Linked DNA regions of Tamandua tetradactyla. Each later gene encodes a partner of the first gene's protein in a complex. Links are inferred from orthologs where the notes say so. Each region holds a gene or a part of one and is shown in the gene's direction. Other genes may lie near its edges.

Region 1 (7,103 bases):
TGATATGCATCTAGTTAGCAACTAATGAACTCAGTCCCTCCATAGTATAGCAACAATTAGAGAAATTTAAAACCTTATCAAATTGATAGATTTACTTTATTTAACCAATATTTCATAGTACTCAACAAGTGCCAGACATAATTTTAAGTGCTAAGCACTTTCCCTGTAAGTTGGGTATAATTATTATCCTGATTTTGCCTATAATAAAACAGAGGTATAGTGAAGTTATGGAAATTATTAAGATGCTTAAAAGGTTTGCTGAAAGAGTACTGTAATCCCTTTCAAATAGCCTTTTTGAAGTTTGCTAATTTTGACTACCATTTCCCCATTCCCTTCTGCCTGTGATTGTTACACGTCTCCCCACGTGACCGCGTCTCAGAATTAGGGGGAGGGATGTGTTATGGAACAGGCCTCTGACTGGAGACCACTCCCCTCCTTTCCACAACACTGTTCTTAGTAAAGGACAAAATGGTATTTAAAATTCTAAGCATGCGGACTTATTGTACCTCAACATGGCAAGCCAGAAACAGAAAGCAATATCCCTGGCTCTCCTTCTACCTCTCACAAGACACGTCCCTATCTCAGAGGCTCCAGGAAACAGCCACAGCCTGGAGAGTTTAGACCTGGGGCATTTTAGCTTTCCCAAGTTACTATTAGGTCATGAGCTGTGAGTGGGGCAGGAACTGGGGTAACAGCTACAAGAATATGTAAAGAGAAAGTGACAAACACATCACGTGAAAAGCAAACCAAGGAATCAAAACAGTTGATCTGTCAAGCTGTGTATTCTCAAGCCCTCGTCTCATGCCCTCAGGGTGATCTGATACATTTTTCAGAGTGCCAGGTGTACCCCAAGGAGGAATTTGGGGGGATTGGTTTTGAGTTGGGTTAGTTCTAAACTACTCCCAAGTTGACTTTGGGTTTATATGGTATTTCATAAAATCTTATATTGTATTATCCTTCCCAGGTTGTAACTTTTGAGTCAACTATAAATTTTGCACCTCAGTAAAGAGAATACAAGCTAAATACTCTGGATCGGAAGCCATTACAAACCAGAACACCTCGGGGCCTGGTGTACCAGAAAACACCTTCAGAGACTGAATTAGCATAGTGTAAATATCCATCCTACAGAGCAGGTAATTTTCTCTTTCCTCATGGAATGAGTTCCTAAGCATTAGCTACTTTACATTTGAGTTATAGAAATAACTCACAGGCAGCTGAATCATTTTGGAACAAATTTTCTATCACCTTCCTTCTCTGTTATTCAGGCTTTTATAGACTCTGAGCAAAATGAATCTGCTGGTTGTCCTACTGTCAAAAATGACTGTAAATGTTTTTTTTTTCTTTTTCCTTTTTCTTTGTTTTTTTTTTAATCAAGCAACGAGAAAACCCTAAAGGGAAAACCTCATTATCATATTCAAAATGCATTTTAGGCTATCCATTCATCCTTAGTAGAATTTTTAGCTCCAAATGGACCTAAATGTCCAGTATTTATGTTTCTCTGCTGTCTTTTCCAGAGCGAGAGGAAGAACCTCTCAAATGGCATCCTTTTCAACACCAGCAGAGGGGAATGGAAAATGCTGTCACCACTGCAAAATAATCCTGTAGGGCCTGTGCCTTTCTGTGATGCTCTGAATCTGTCTGGCTCTCATCTTATCTGTAATTTTTTAAGACGTCAGCTTGGGGCAGCAGCAGTTGAAAACTCAGAACACATGGCCAGTCCTTCCCCAGTTGCCTTCCATATAGCTTCTGCCTGCAGGATAAGCTCCCCTCACTGACATAGTTACTTTTTTACTTTTTTTTTTTAATCCGGAAAATACCCTGTCCCCCACCCCCACCCCTGCCCCATTCCTTCACAAAACTTGCTGCCTGAATGACTTCTGATCTGAGAGCCCTACACATATTCTGTTTCTCCCCACTGCAGATCTGCCTCCTGCCTACCCCACCCCCAACGTCTACATGCTGCCTTTTTTGTGGGTGTCACATTTTGGAAAAAATCCTAACTATAAAAGATTTTGCAGTGCCATTGCATTTGTCACCACTTCTCCCATCCCATTCCTACTTGCTGTACCACGAAATTAAGAATCATAAGTAGGAGAGTTTTATTGGCAATTAACTATCTAAGGACTATACGGATTTTGATTTTCCTCTTCTTTATTGTATAAGAATCTTAAATGTTTAATAAATATTTAAGTAAACAAATTTCAGTAACGTGCCTTGTTTTAGGACTCCAACTTTAATAAAAATCCAAACAGCATTGGTTAATTATTATTGCAAAGATTAATATTTTGAAATACCTTTTTGGTCAGAGAATCTTTAGGAAACAATGACATCTACTCATTTAAATTAACGGCTTTCTTTCAAAATTCTTACAGCTTTGCTTCCTCTGACCAGTCCCTTTACGCCTCTTTTTACTCCTCTCGCAGGGTCTGCATGTCTCTCTCTCTCCTTGTGTGTCTCTCTCTCCAACACGTGCAATTAAAAGGCTTATAATTGTTTATGCTTGGAATGTGTGTGTGTGTAGGTGTAGGTGTATGCTGGGGTGGGGGACGTTTTATTGTGTGTCATTTTTCGGGACCTAGCTCTGAATGGCTTCTTCTAAAGCAGACAAGGATTTTCCATCGTCTAAAAGAGGCCATCAAGTTTTAACATTGCAAGGCACGACTTCTAATCGCATCCTTCCTGGAAAAGTACAAACAGTTCCTCAGCCGAAGTCCCCCACCTCCCACGCGCTCCCCAGCTCGCCCTCCCCGCGGAGAGCCCCACAACAACCTCCCCAACACCTGTGAATCATCGGAGAGGCTGCCACCGCGGAGCCATTTGCATACCCACCCCCTGTCGCCCCACCCCCACCCCAGCTCTCCCTGGTCGCCTAGTGCACAAGGGAGGAAGTATTATTGCTTTATGCTTATTATTTTAATCTCTCAGATGACCAGGAAAACTATCGTTTCTTGCCCACGTCCTGTTGCGAACATCATAAGTCCCCCAAATCAGCCTCTACTCTGACCCAGGGTTCGCGCATCGAGAGAATCACTAGAACTTCATCGCGTCCAACCCACCCTGGATCCTGCAGTCCTCCACCTTCCCCCGGAAGTCTGGACGGTCCTATACGTGCCTCCGAGGGCTGTTCTGAAGACACCCAACGCACAACCTCAGGACCCGATTGCAAATTCAAGCGAAAGCAGCGTCATCTGTTTTGCCCTCGGTAAACAACGCTACTCGGAGCCTCGAGCCCTTGCAAACCCACGCTGGTTGGGTTAACGACCCTTCGCTCCCCTCTCCCCCAGCTCCTTTGATATCTCTGGGAGATAATTGCTCTGACGTCCGTTCAAATAACGTGCGCGAGTCTGTCTTCCCAGCTGACCACATTAATACGAACTCCAAGCCCTGGGTGCTGCTTTGATAAAATGAACAAATCACTCATAAAAATAGTAACCCACGTAGCCTGGCCATATATGGAGCTGGCGAGGGTTGACAGGGATGCCCCTTCGGACCCTCTTCTTTGGGGAAAACTAATCGCTGCTGAAATCGAGCTCCCCCAGCGTCCCTCCCCGCCGCCACCACCTCCCTCTCCGCCTCCTCGGTCTTCCCCTCCTCCTTCCATGACTCAACTCAGCGGGGAGAATAAAGTATGCACCCCGCCCCCCACACACACACACATGGATATATAGACATAATATACATACAGGATGCAACATGTACACACAACATGCATATGTTAGCACACATATACAAACACACGTGTATGACACTAGAAAAACAGTCGTCAGATTAATGTGTTTTCCCGAGACGGTGTATTAAAATGCAGCCATAAGGATAGCCCCGTTTCAGAGTTTGTACGGGACTAAAATACAAAGGTTTCAGTAACGCTCACCGGGAGCTGAGTCAAGCGCTCGGCGCCTACCGGCTGCTCGCGTCCCACCCGCAGCCTCCGCCCTCCCTCCGCCCTCCCCGCCGCAGACTTCCTCCCGCCCCTGGAGGCGACGGCTATTAAAAGCTGCTGACGTCAAGAGGGACGGCCATCTTTGATGAGGGCAGAGCTCACGTTGCATTGAAGACGAAACCTCGGGGAGGTCAGGCTCTGTCTCGCCTTCCCTCCCTGCTCGGCGGCTCCTGCACACTCGCAACCTGCTGGGATCCGGCGAACACTACCCTCCCGGGAAGCCCAGGTAAGAAGCCCCCTCCCCGGGCCCCGGTGCTGACTCTGAGAGGTTGCATTCCCAAAGAGGACCGCAGCTGGGCAGACCTAGTGGCCTTGGGCAGTACAAGTATTTGTGCGCCTGGGGCGCGGTGTTCCGTGTGTGCGCGCCTGGCTGGACTCCCGCCTGGGGCTTTATAAAGTGTTTTTGAGGTGGGCTGCTTGTGGAAGGGATGAATGGGGCTACTGCGGATGGAGCGATGGGAGGGAAACGTAAGGATACGATCCAAATAATAACTTACTCTTTTAAAACTGTGGTGGGACCCTTTCTCTCTTCCATTTTGCGACGCAGTTTTCAGAGGTGTTTAGGCTGATGTTGTGTTGTTGTTGTTGTTGCTTCTGTAGACAAAAAGAAAAGAAAAAAAAATCTGTTCTTCTAACCCTGTTATTATGACTTGCCTTTAGCGTGCTATTATCCAGTGCAGAATTGAGGGAAAGGCAGGTTGTGGGCGTTGGGGAGGCGAAAGGAGGGGAAGGGGGAGAGTTCCCGTCCGGGGCAAGCTGAGCTGAGGCAGCGACAGCAGCCTCCTTGCCCCCACAGACTTGATTCATGCCTCCTGCCCCACGTCAACTGCAGCCTGGCGGGAGGCGGGCGGTTTGTGCCGGGTGGGAGGGCTCTGCGGAGAGCTGGCGGGGATGGGATGGCCTCGGGGACTGCGACGGCCCTCACTCAGCACCCTGGACAGCGATACAAAGGCCCGCGCCGGCGCCCGTGACCTTTCAGCACCGCGGACAACGACCCGGCTTCAGAGGCAGAGGGGCCTGGATAGGATGTTCTGTGCCAGGGCTGCAGGACAGATTGCCGCTGTGAAACCTGGTCTCACAGAGACCCCTAATGAAGTATTTAAGAGCAGACGTAGTAGGTAAAAAAAAAAATAATAATAATAAATAAATCATGCCCGCAGGGACTCCTTTGCAGGCAATGCCTGCTTTCTCCAGATCTCCTGCTTAGCTTTAAAAAAAATAACAGTCTACTTTGTGGAAACCTTCTGTTGCCCTTTATTTTAGGTAGGAAATAAACACATTTCTTAAATCTGCGTTTACCTTTCTACCGGATGTCAAGATTTGGTTTGTTTTTATGTTAACACAGAGCACGTAATGCACTGCCTACAGATCTTGGGTGGGCATGAGTGGGATAAAAATGAAGATGTCAACATTATCTATTTATAGGAGTGATCTCTCCATATATATTTCTATTTAGCAAAAAATTGGGGATAGCTGAACTAAGCATAATTAACTTTAAGAATGAATCCCTCTTCCTCTTTCTCCCCCTACTCTTGTAATTATGTATGAGCACAAACACACAGCCACAAAACTATGTTTCTGAGAAATATTTACAGGTCGTAGAGTGTATAGATTTAACTCCTTTAGTTAAGGTTTTAGAGTTATTGGAAGTAAATATTTTCTAAGGACATTGGTTATCTCAGGCTGAAAGCTTCTGATTTGACAACATTAAGATTGGGCTTCCTCAGTTGAATCCAATTGTGCCCTTCAGGGTAATGCAGGTGAAAGAACCATGTTAGACTAAAACTGGACTCTGGCCTAAAATTCTACTGCAATTTCTATTGCAGCACTGCGGGATTTTGCCAAGGCGACGATAGGTACTTGAACCATTTTCTACTCTGAGGCTCGGAGCCTCTAAACCAGCAAAAATCATCATAATAATATTTTTTTCTCTGTTTGATATATATAAAGATTGCATAAAATGACAAGTAAAATTGTGCTTTTTGAGTAAATTAGAGTAACAGTTTCATATGTAAAAATATATGCGACGCGTTAAAAAAATGCCATTATGGTCCTCTAAAACGCCCCAAATTAAGATCTTGGAATGTTTTTAGCCAGTAATAATTCCAATCACGTGTATACTAGAGGTGCTAAAATGTCCATCTACATGGAAAAGGTATTTTTGCTCCCAGCTATTTATTTCCTAGTGATTTTCCTTTATATGGATAACTATATATTTCATATATGCATATGTTGACCTGTATGCATGGATGTAAAGTTATTTGGGTGGAAATTTATTTGAGTGTGTTACTGCGTAAAAGAAGTTCATAACTCTGCAATCTGCAGAAGAAATAAACAACAGTTTTTTAGTGATGAGAAGAGGGGAGAAAAGATGGGCAGGAGTATTAAAAAATGCTTTGACTTCATGCTGTATGTCCAGACAGCTTTCTGCGTAGTTACATCAAATAAAAAGCCTAATGCTGCTGGAATTACGTGCTTAGATATTAGTAATTACTGCTGGGTTTGTTTGCAAGTGGAAGATGGGGGTGAAGAGGGAGGTGGAGGAGGACTGCAGTGAAGCTGGCAAAAAGCACAGTGCTGGGGGGAAGAGGAGATGTGCACAATTATGGAGTTAATTCTAGGATAGCTTCCTTAGAAATTAAAGAAAATCATAACTGAAGCATGAACTCAAATTTATATTGTTGATAAACTTAAAAAAAATCAAGGGAGTTCCTATTTTAAATTTTAAAAGTCTGGGGGGCAAAACAGTGAAAAGAGGCAGGAACAGATAGGAACATTCATCTATACCCTCTGATGGTACCTGCTTATTTGCTTCTATTGGCATTTTCTGCATTATCCACCACAGGATTCAGACTACAAAATAATATCCAGTCTACCTAACGTCCCCATGCTGATACCTCTCAGGAATTCACAATTTTATTTTTACTTTGTTAAACACGCACAATCACCCATGCACACATCCAGTACAAGCTGTCCCTTAATTAGCTTGTCTAAAAACATTCCTAAGCCCCAAATGTTAACCCCAGAGTGGTGTTTATCAACTGAAAGATCTATGTTTCTGTCGGTGACACCTCTCTGTGTAGCATCTGGCCTTTAGCAAAACGTATAGGTTGTGAAGGATTAGCAGAAGAGAGAGAAGTAATTTGAGAGATTGAGAAAGGAG
Region 2 (7,340 bases), on another chromosome or scaffold:
CTGCTTACCCCTCAGGGTCTTCGACAAGATCAAGAGTCGCAACGCCCACATGAAGCGGCACCGGCTTCAAGATGCTGTGGAGCCCGTGGTCAGGGTGAAGTGGCCTGTGAAGCCCTTCCAGCTGGAGGAGGAGGATGGGGAGGGGGCAGGGCCCGGCATCGGTGCCCTGCAGTGGTGAGCCCCACCCTGCGGCAGCCTGCTGGGCTAGACGGGGGGGAGGGGTCTCCAGGCCTCTCGTCTCCCTGTAGTCTGTCCAAGAGGAGACCTTGCCAAGGTGCTGGCCCTGCCTCGCTGCCCCCACTCTGCATTGTCCCACGCTGGGCACATGGCCATCGATCCGCCGGAGGAGCACACAGTCACCCGGCATTTGTGAAGTCCCTGTCATGGGGGTGCCAGAAGTGCCATTCTTTTTATGTTAATCGTCTCTCCCTGCCTTTTGCTTCCACTCCTCCTGGAGCTGGGAGACTTGGGGAGGGGAAAAAGTTAGATCTGGGTAGCTCTTAAGTCTTAGCCTCACTTTTGGGGTTTGGTTATATTTGTTAGATAAGGCCAAGATTTAGAGAATCAGTGGGAAAATACCTTCAGATCTCCCCCAGCATGTTGGGGCCTCCCTAAGTAGGTGGTCTCTCTGCACTCAGGATTCAGTCCCTAATCTTGCAACGACTTGTACATTGTTAGGGTTTTTTTTTTTTTACGTGTCTACTTGTAAATCTTATTAAATTGGGTTCTTGAGCAGCTGTCTTCTGACTTCCCTGGCCTGTTGATCCCACAAAGGCTTTTGCATCCCTGCCTCATTCCAGGGCCACAGAGATGAGTAAGATGGGTTCGTGTCCCAGAGGAGCTGGTAGCCTTGGGAGGCAGAGGGGAGGGAACAGGCAGATTAATTTGTACATTCATTAAGCGCCTACTGTAGCGTGGGCCAGACATTGCCCAGCCCAGGTATGGGGTTGTGGTGACTCAGGAGGAACAGGGCCCCCTTCTTCAGAGAGCTCACGTTCTAGGAGGGAGATAACAGTAACAGAGATGCGAACGAGGCGATTTAAGATCTCAAGGGTGGGTCTGCTTTTGGCCACAGCACCAAGACTGTCGTTGTAAGTGTGAGCAGTCAGGGTGTATGGCTCCCGTGGCTCTACCCACAAAGTCAAGACTGCAGCAGAGACAAGATTCAACTCCTCCCACAATAATATCCATATCGTTGGAGGTTCACAGATAAAGAACATATCCCTTCCTTCCTAGTTTCTCTTGTTAAGAAAGGAAAACTTGCATAAGCTCCCAGCAGCCTGCCTCTTGTGTCTCATCAGCCGGAACCATAGCCTGTGCTCATTTCTAAACTCCTCCCGGGCATATGGAGCAGAAATGATCACTGTTTCCTTGGACCACTCAAGGGTTGTCTCGGGGACCAAGGAAGACCAATGTATGCCCTCAAGTTTATTGCCACCTGAACAAAACTGGAAGTCTCTTAGCCAGGAGAAGAGAAGGACATGGAAATGGCTACTGGGCAGGCAGACCACAGTGTCCTCCCACCAAGTGACATGAAGGAGGTGAAGGAGGGGCCAAGTCCTAGGAGAGGACCAGAGTGCGGCAGGCAGTGTTAGTGGGACAGCTAGAGAAGGCCTCACTGAGGGGCCTGCTGAGTTGGGATCTGGATCCCAGGCTGCAGAAGGGCAGAGTGCACTCTCTGCGGCTAGAGACCAGAGGAGGTGTTAAGTAGGAAGTGACAACTGACAAACTGCCTGAAGAAATTTCTCTGACTGCTGTGGAAGATGGGTTGTAGGAGGCAAGAGTGGACATCGGGGGAGTAGATAGACGCCTCCAAGGTAAAAGATGCAATGTACCAGGTTGGGTGGTAGCAGTGATGAGGCAAAGAAACGTGTGGGTTAGGGGTGCATTTTGCAGGTGGACTGCACAGACTTGGAAATTGAAGAGGTAGTGAGGAAAAGGATAGGATCAAGGCTGGCCTGTGGGTTGGGGGCTTGAGCAGCCGAGCAGATGCAGAGCAACCACCGAGATGACAGGGCACATCACTGCTTGGCCAGGTCTCTAAGGGTGTGCCCTGTGTGTAAGGATCTGGCAGGGGGAACAGGGCAGACGGTGGTGCCAGGTTTCACAGAGGGCTGATATCTCAGCCGAGTTTTCAAGACTCGGAGGGAGGAGGAGTAGAGGAGGAATTAAGTTTGAAGCAGTCCAGGCTCAGGCATCAGAAGAACCAGAATATGCATCCTGTCTCCCCTTCTTTGTGACCTTACGCAGCTCACTTCCCCTGTCTAAGCCTCATTTTCTCACCTCTAAAGCGGATTGAAAAATGCCTATCCCCATGTATCCATTAAATGAGATTGAAAAATGCCTATCCCCATGTATCCATTAAATGATTAGGTATTTTGCAGGGTTCCCCATGTGAATTTTACAGCTAACTTTCGATGAGTTCTGATGGCATTACTATCATCGTTTGGACTCCATCCTAAATAATAAGTCAAACTTGCTCCTTGGACTTTGAAACAAAAGCCTAGCTTAAAGAGTCAGGGAGTATAGTAGTTATTTGTTGCTCCATAACAAAATACCCTCAAGCTCAACAGCTTAAAACAAGTGGAAGCTTTTAGAGTAGTGCCCCACTGACAGACACAGAACCAAAACTGTTTGTGGTGATGCAGACCCACCCCCACCTGATCTGTGGTCAGGATGCAACAGCAACCACAAATAGGTGGTCCAGGAAAATCTAAGAAGAAGAGTTGGGCAACGGTTTCTTGTGCCTCACCCAGCGTGTTCGGTGCCCTCCCGTCCACCACCCGATCACTGTTTTCTCAAACTGGTTTCCCAATGGTCTGCATCTGAGTCACATGGAGGGGAGGGGACTGTAAAAAAAATGCAGATTCCTGTGCCCTGACACAGACTTTGAGAATCAGAATCTTCGGATTTAGGGCCCTAGAACCAGGATTAGGAAAAAAACAAAACAAAACAATTTTAGATTTATAGAGAAAACTGAGAATAGGACAAAGTGTTCCCACATACCCCACAGCCAGTTTCTTCTTCTAACATCTTACACTGGTGTGGTATTTTTGTTGTTTAGATTTGTTAAAATTATTGAACCAATATTGATACATAATTATTAACTCAAGTCCATACTTCATTCAGATTTCCTTAGTTTCAATCTAATGCCCTTTTTCTGTTCCAGGATCCCACATCACATTTAATACTCACGTCTCTTTAGGCTCCTCTTGGGTGTGAGTTTCTCCAAATTTCCTTGTTTGTGATGATCTTAACAGTTTTGAATACTGATCAGGTATTTTATAGAACGTGCCTCAATTGGGATTTGTTGTTTTTCATGTGATTAGACTAGGGTTGAATGTTTTGGGAAAGAAGAACCATTACATCACATCTTATCAAAGATATATACTAGCAACATGACATCACTTTGTGTTAACCTTGGTCATCACCTAGCTGATGCAGTGCTTCATTTCTCAACTGTAAAGTTACTTGCTGTCCTGTCCCGCACCCCCCCCCCCGCGTTGATAATTGAAAAGGAAGTCACTTTGTGCAGCCCACACTTAAAGAGTTGGGACTTAGGCTCCTTCTCCTTTCAGTTGGTGCATGTGGCCCTTTGATAAACCCACATCGTGTTTGTGTGATTTGTTTTTAGCACTTCCTTACTTTCGGACACTACAAAATGCTCCGCCTACGTGTACTTTCCCTCCCCCTGGTTTCTTCTATGGGAGAATGATAGTAGGAACCAAGATCTGGAGACTGAATGGGCTGTGCTCAAACCTCAATTTTAACACGTTCTCCCAACTATTGCCCTTGCAAGCAGAGTTTAGAAACCTCTGCTCTCAAAGTTACCCAGGACTAAACCAGTTCCAGCATCAGTCGGCAGAGGGCGTAAGAAGAGGCAGAAAAGTTTATTTTCCACCACATACGCGAAGAAGGATGGCGCGAGGTAACACCACTGAGGCAATACTGAGCTCTGCGCAAGGGAACTGTCAAACTCGGGCGTAGGCGTGCGCCCCGGGCTGGGGGTGGGGGGGTAGGGTTGTCACGTGAGGCCCGGCGGTCAGCTGACTAGTGCCGTAGTTTCCCAGGCAGGGCGGACCCCAGGCGAGGGCTGCTGTTGCTGATTAGCGGAGGAGGCTCCAGAGAGGCCGCACTCTCGAGCAGGTCCTTGACGCTCTGATTGGCTTAGCTCGTGTCACGTGGTGGTGTCGTACGCGTGCGCCGAAGCTGTGGACGCCGACTGGTGGTTGCGAGTCACGGGTCTTCGTGCGCCGATTAACAGGGGCGGGGCCAGCGGGGCGAGCGTCGCGCTCCACGTCGCGCTGGTTGGTCGGCGCGGGTCACATGGCGCCGGGCAGCAGGCGATACGTGCCGGTGCGACGTCAACGCAGCCTGCTGAGCTCCGCCGATCCGCCTGGCGCGGCGGGTGCTGAGTTCTCCGAGGGCCGGGCCGGGCCGTTTGCTGAGTCCCTTCGCGGCTGCCATGGACAATTCGGGGAAGGAAGCGGAGGCGGTAGCGCTGCTGGCCGAGGCGGAGCGCAAGGTGAAGAACTCGCAGTCCTTCTTCTCCGGCCTCTTTGGGTAAGAACAGGGCCGAGGGGCTGGCGGGACCTCGGCAGAGAGAACGGGAGCGCGGCCTGAGGCGGCCGGGGAGGCACGGACGACTCGGGCCGAAGGGACGGAGGGAATTCGGGATAAGAGATAAGGCCCAAGGCAGCAGAGGGGACACAGGCTGAGAGCCAGGGGGCCCCGGGCCGTGCAGCGCGGTTTGAGGGGAGGCTGAGACAGCGGAGGGAATCTCGTACGAGGGGAGACAGGCCGAGGTGACACCATCTTGAGGCGACGAAGGGGATCCAGGCTGAAGACGGGCCAAGGGATGGGAGGAAACCTTGGGCCGAAAGTCTTTAGTCTGAGGCCTGGAAGGGGGCTCGGCCTGAAGGGATTGCGGAAGCCGGGAGGGCAGCAAGGTTGAGAAGCCTTTCGGAGCGCAGGGAGAGCCTACTTGCGGGATCCCAGGCGGACGCTATGGGGCTCCGGACTGAGATCACCTGCCCTAGGGGTTAACCTTCCCCAGGCCTCCGGTAGTGGATTTCCGGGGGCCAGGTGACAGGGTGAGGGCTGGTGGAATCTGATACCAGGCCGAGGGGATCGGGGCTAAGGTGGTTTGGAGGTGATGAGTTCAAGACTGAGGTGTGTGAGGATGCCTGGGGTGAGTATGCGCCTGGTTAGTGGTGACTAATCTAAAAAGTCTTATACTTAATGGGACCTGGGTGGAGGAGGCCCAGGGGTGATGGAGTTAAGTCTGAAGGCAGGGCGGGAGATCTGGGCCAAGGGGCTGGAGATCTCTAGGTGTGAAAGAGGTAAGGGGACTGAGAAAACCAAAAGGGGGCTGAGGACACGATGTTTGATCGTTGAATAAAGATTCAGAAGGAAGATCCCTCTGGCAAACTAGGAAAGGGGCCTTAAAGATGTTGGGGGACAACTCACACCAACAGCGTGGCAGACATTTCACATAAAATTCATGTTAGCTCAGACAAATAATGCTGATGATTCTCTTTTGAGGAATCTGAGTGGTTTAGGAGTGTCACAAAGTGTGGCTTTGCTACTTCATGATGTTGGGTAAATTGTTTAACTTCCCTGTTAAAGGGGAGTGTGGGGAAATCTATCTCATTGGTTTCCTTGGAGTGTTGAATAACAATATGTGTAAAGTGCTTAACTTGAGCTTAGCACGTGGTTAAAATTCCAGAAGTGCTAGCCAGCGTTATTAACATTTCTGTGCTTAAGATTTGGAACCTGGAGAGGACTGGAGGGGATGGAGGTAGGGGCCTGAGGGGAGAGGTCTGGGAGGAGTTGAGGGGATGCGGTCTGAGAATGAAGAAGCCTTTGTGTGACAGAGCAGAAAAAAGAGCTGAAATGGTGTGGAAAAAGGGCTCAGGTCCAGGGGTATCCAATAGGGTTAAGGGGAGGGGCTTGAGGCTCTGGGCAGAGGAAGTAGAAGGGAGGGGGAAGGCTGGGGGAAGGACCTGAAAAGGTGAGCAGAAGGCTGTCTGACCTGATAGGAGGCTTGCGAAAGGGACTGTGGGTTTGTAAAGAGTTGAGAAGAACTGAAGTGGGGTGCGGGGCACAGACTCAGGATCCAGAGAGAGGCAGAGACTGGGGATGGCTGTGGGATGGAAGAATCTTCCAGAAGTCTAGATAATGGGATTTGGAGGAGGCCCCGGAAATTGGAAGAGACTGAGTTAGGAACCCAGCAGAGATTGATAAGAAATGAAGGGAAGGTGAAAGGAGCCTCCATTGTTATTTAAGATTGAATAATATTTAGCAAAACTAATTTGAAAAAGTATCTGAGCAATGATGCCTAGTGCAAAGAAACATCCAGAGCTGATGGGATTGTAGGGGAGGAATTTTGATGTTAGAGACTGAGAAGAGAGAGAAGGTATGTATGTGCTGCTGCTTCTTTCCTCCCTGAAGCTCAAGTGCCGTGTTTGATGGTGGGGCCAAGAGCTCATTTTCAGGTAGTGAGTCATTTTCCTTGTGTGGCTCTGGGTGTCTGGTCCCTTCAGACTGAAATTCAGTGTACTGTTGGGTTATGCATGGTGGGAGCAGCTCAGTCAGGCCGGTCAGAGCCCTTGAGGCACATGCAGTCTGATTGGGAAAGCAAGACGAACGCTTGCCAAATCCAGTAAAGCAAGATTGTCCGATGTAATAGAGGGCTAAATTATGTTGTGCAAGTGAAGTTCCTGAAGTGGGAGGCAACGGCATGTCCTGGAGGAAGGCTCTTTGTGAGCAAGGCCCCAAGAAACCCTAGGATTTGCTAAAGGAATGGGGGCCTGGGAGGGTGTGGTAGGTTGCAGGAATAGTGTGGGGGGTGGGGGCAAGAAAAGTCTAATATGAGGGGAGGTTCTGTCTAGAATGATGGGAACTAGGGGACCAGGAAAGTCTTGTGAAGGAGTGGCTAGCCTGGCACCATCTTGGAGGATAAGTAGGGTTCTAGTGGGGGAACAGCACTCCAGGCAGAGGGAACAGCGTGAGCAATGGCTCAGAAGTGTGAAGGGCAGTGAATGAAGGTTTAGCTACAGAGAGTTCCATATTATTAGAATGTAAGGTTAGAGCAGGGAGGCTGGAGATAGGGAAGAGGGCAAGGCCCAGTCCCAGAGTGCTTTGTGAGAAAGAGCCTGGACTTGAGTTGCTGAAGAACACTGAGGAATTTAACAGGAGTAGGATGGCTCCTGTTCAGCTTTTGGAAAGATGAGTGCAGCAGCTGGGGGGAGGAGTGATGGGGGATGGAGGAGAGTAAAGGCAGGAGGCTGTGGCGGCTGTGACAGGTGGTAGCAGATAATGTGTCCTGAGTGCTCCCT

What was found. The genes of interacting proteins can lie anywhere in the genome.
Region 2: the proteins of SNAP25 (region 1) and NAPA are in contact, whole or in part, in a cryo-EM structure (PDB 6MDM), measured with the Rattus norvegicus proteins. The link is inferred for Tamandua tetradactyla from reciprocal best matches to the Homo sapiens genes SNAP25 and NAPA. Residues at the interface, in NP_112253.1 of Rattus norvegicus: Glu37, Lys40, Asp41, Ile44, Arg45, Leu47, Asp51, Glu52, Glu55, Gln56, Arg59, Glu62, Gln152, Asn159, Met163, Asp166, Glu170, Thr173; in NP_542152.1 of Rattus norvegicus: Lys122, Glu155, Glu156, Ser157, Asn158, Ser159, Ser160, Asn162, Pro196, Leu197, Leu198, Tyr200, Ser201, Lys203, Asp204, Ala234, Phe235, Ser236, Arg239, Ser268, Ile269, Ser270.

The regions. Positions count from the first base shown.
Region 1 is NC_135327.1:50,603,584-50,610,686, reverse strand, and holds the start of SNAP25 (synaptosomal-associated protein 25), read left to right. Parts: upstream 1-4,037; 5' UTR 4,038-4,166; intron 4,167-7,103.
Region 2 is NC_135342.1:13,631,994-13,639,333, forward strand, and holds the start of NAPA (alpha-soluble NSF attachment protein), read left to right. Parts: upstream 1-4,308; 5' UTR 4,309-4,465; coding exon 4,466-4,563; intron 4,564-7,340. Other genes in the region: ZNF541 (zinc finger protein 541), read left to right, coding at 16-178. UniProt on the Homo sapiens protein: Required for vesicular transport between the endoplasmic reticulum and the Golgi apparatus. Together with GNA12 promotes CDH5 localization to plasma membrane.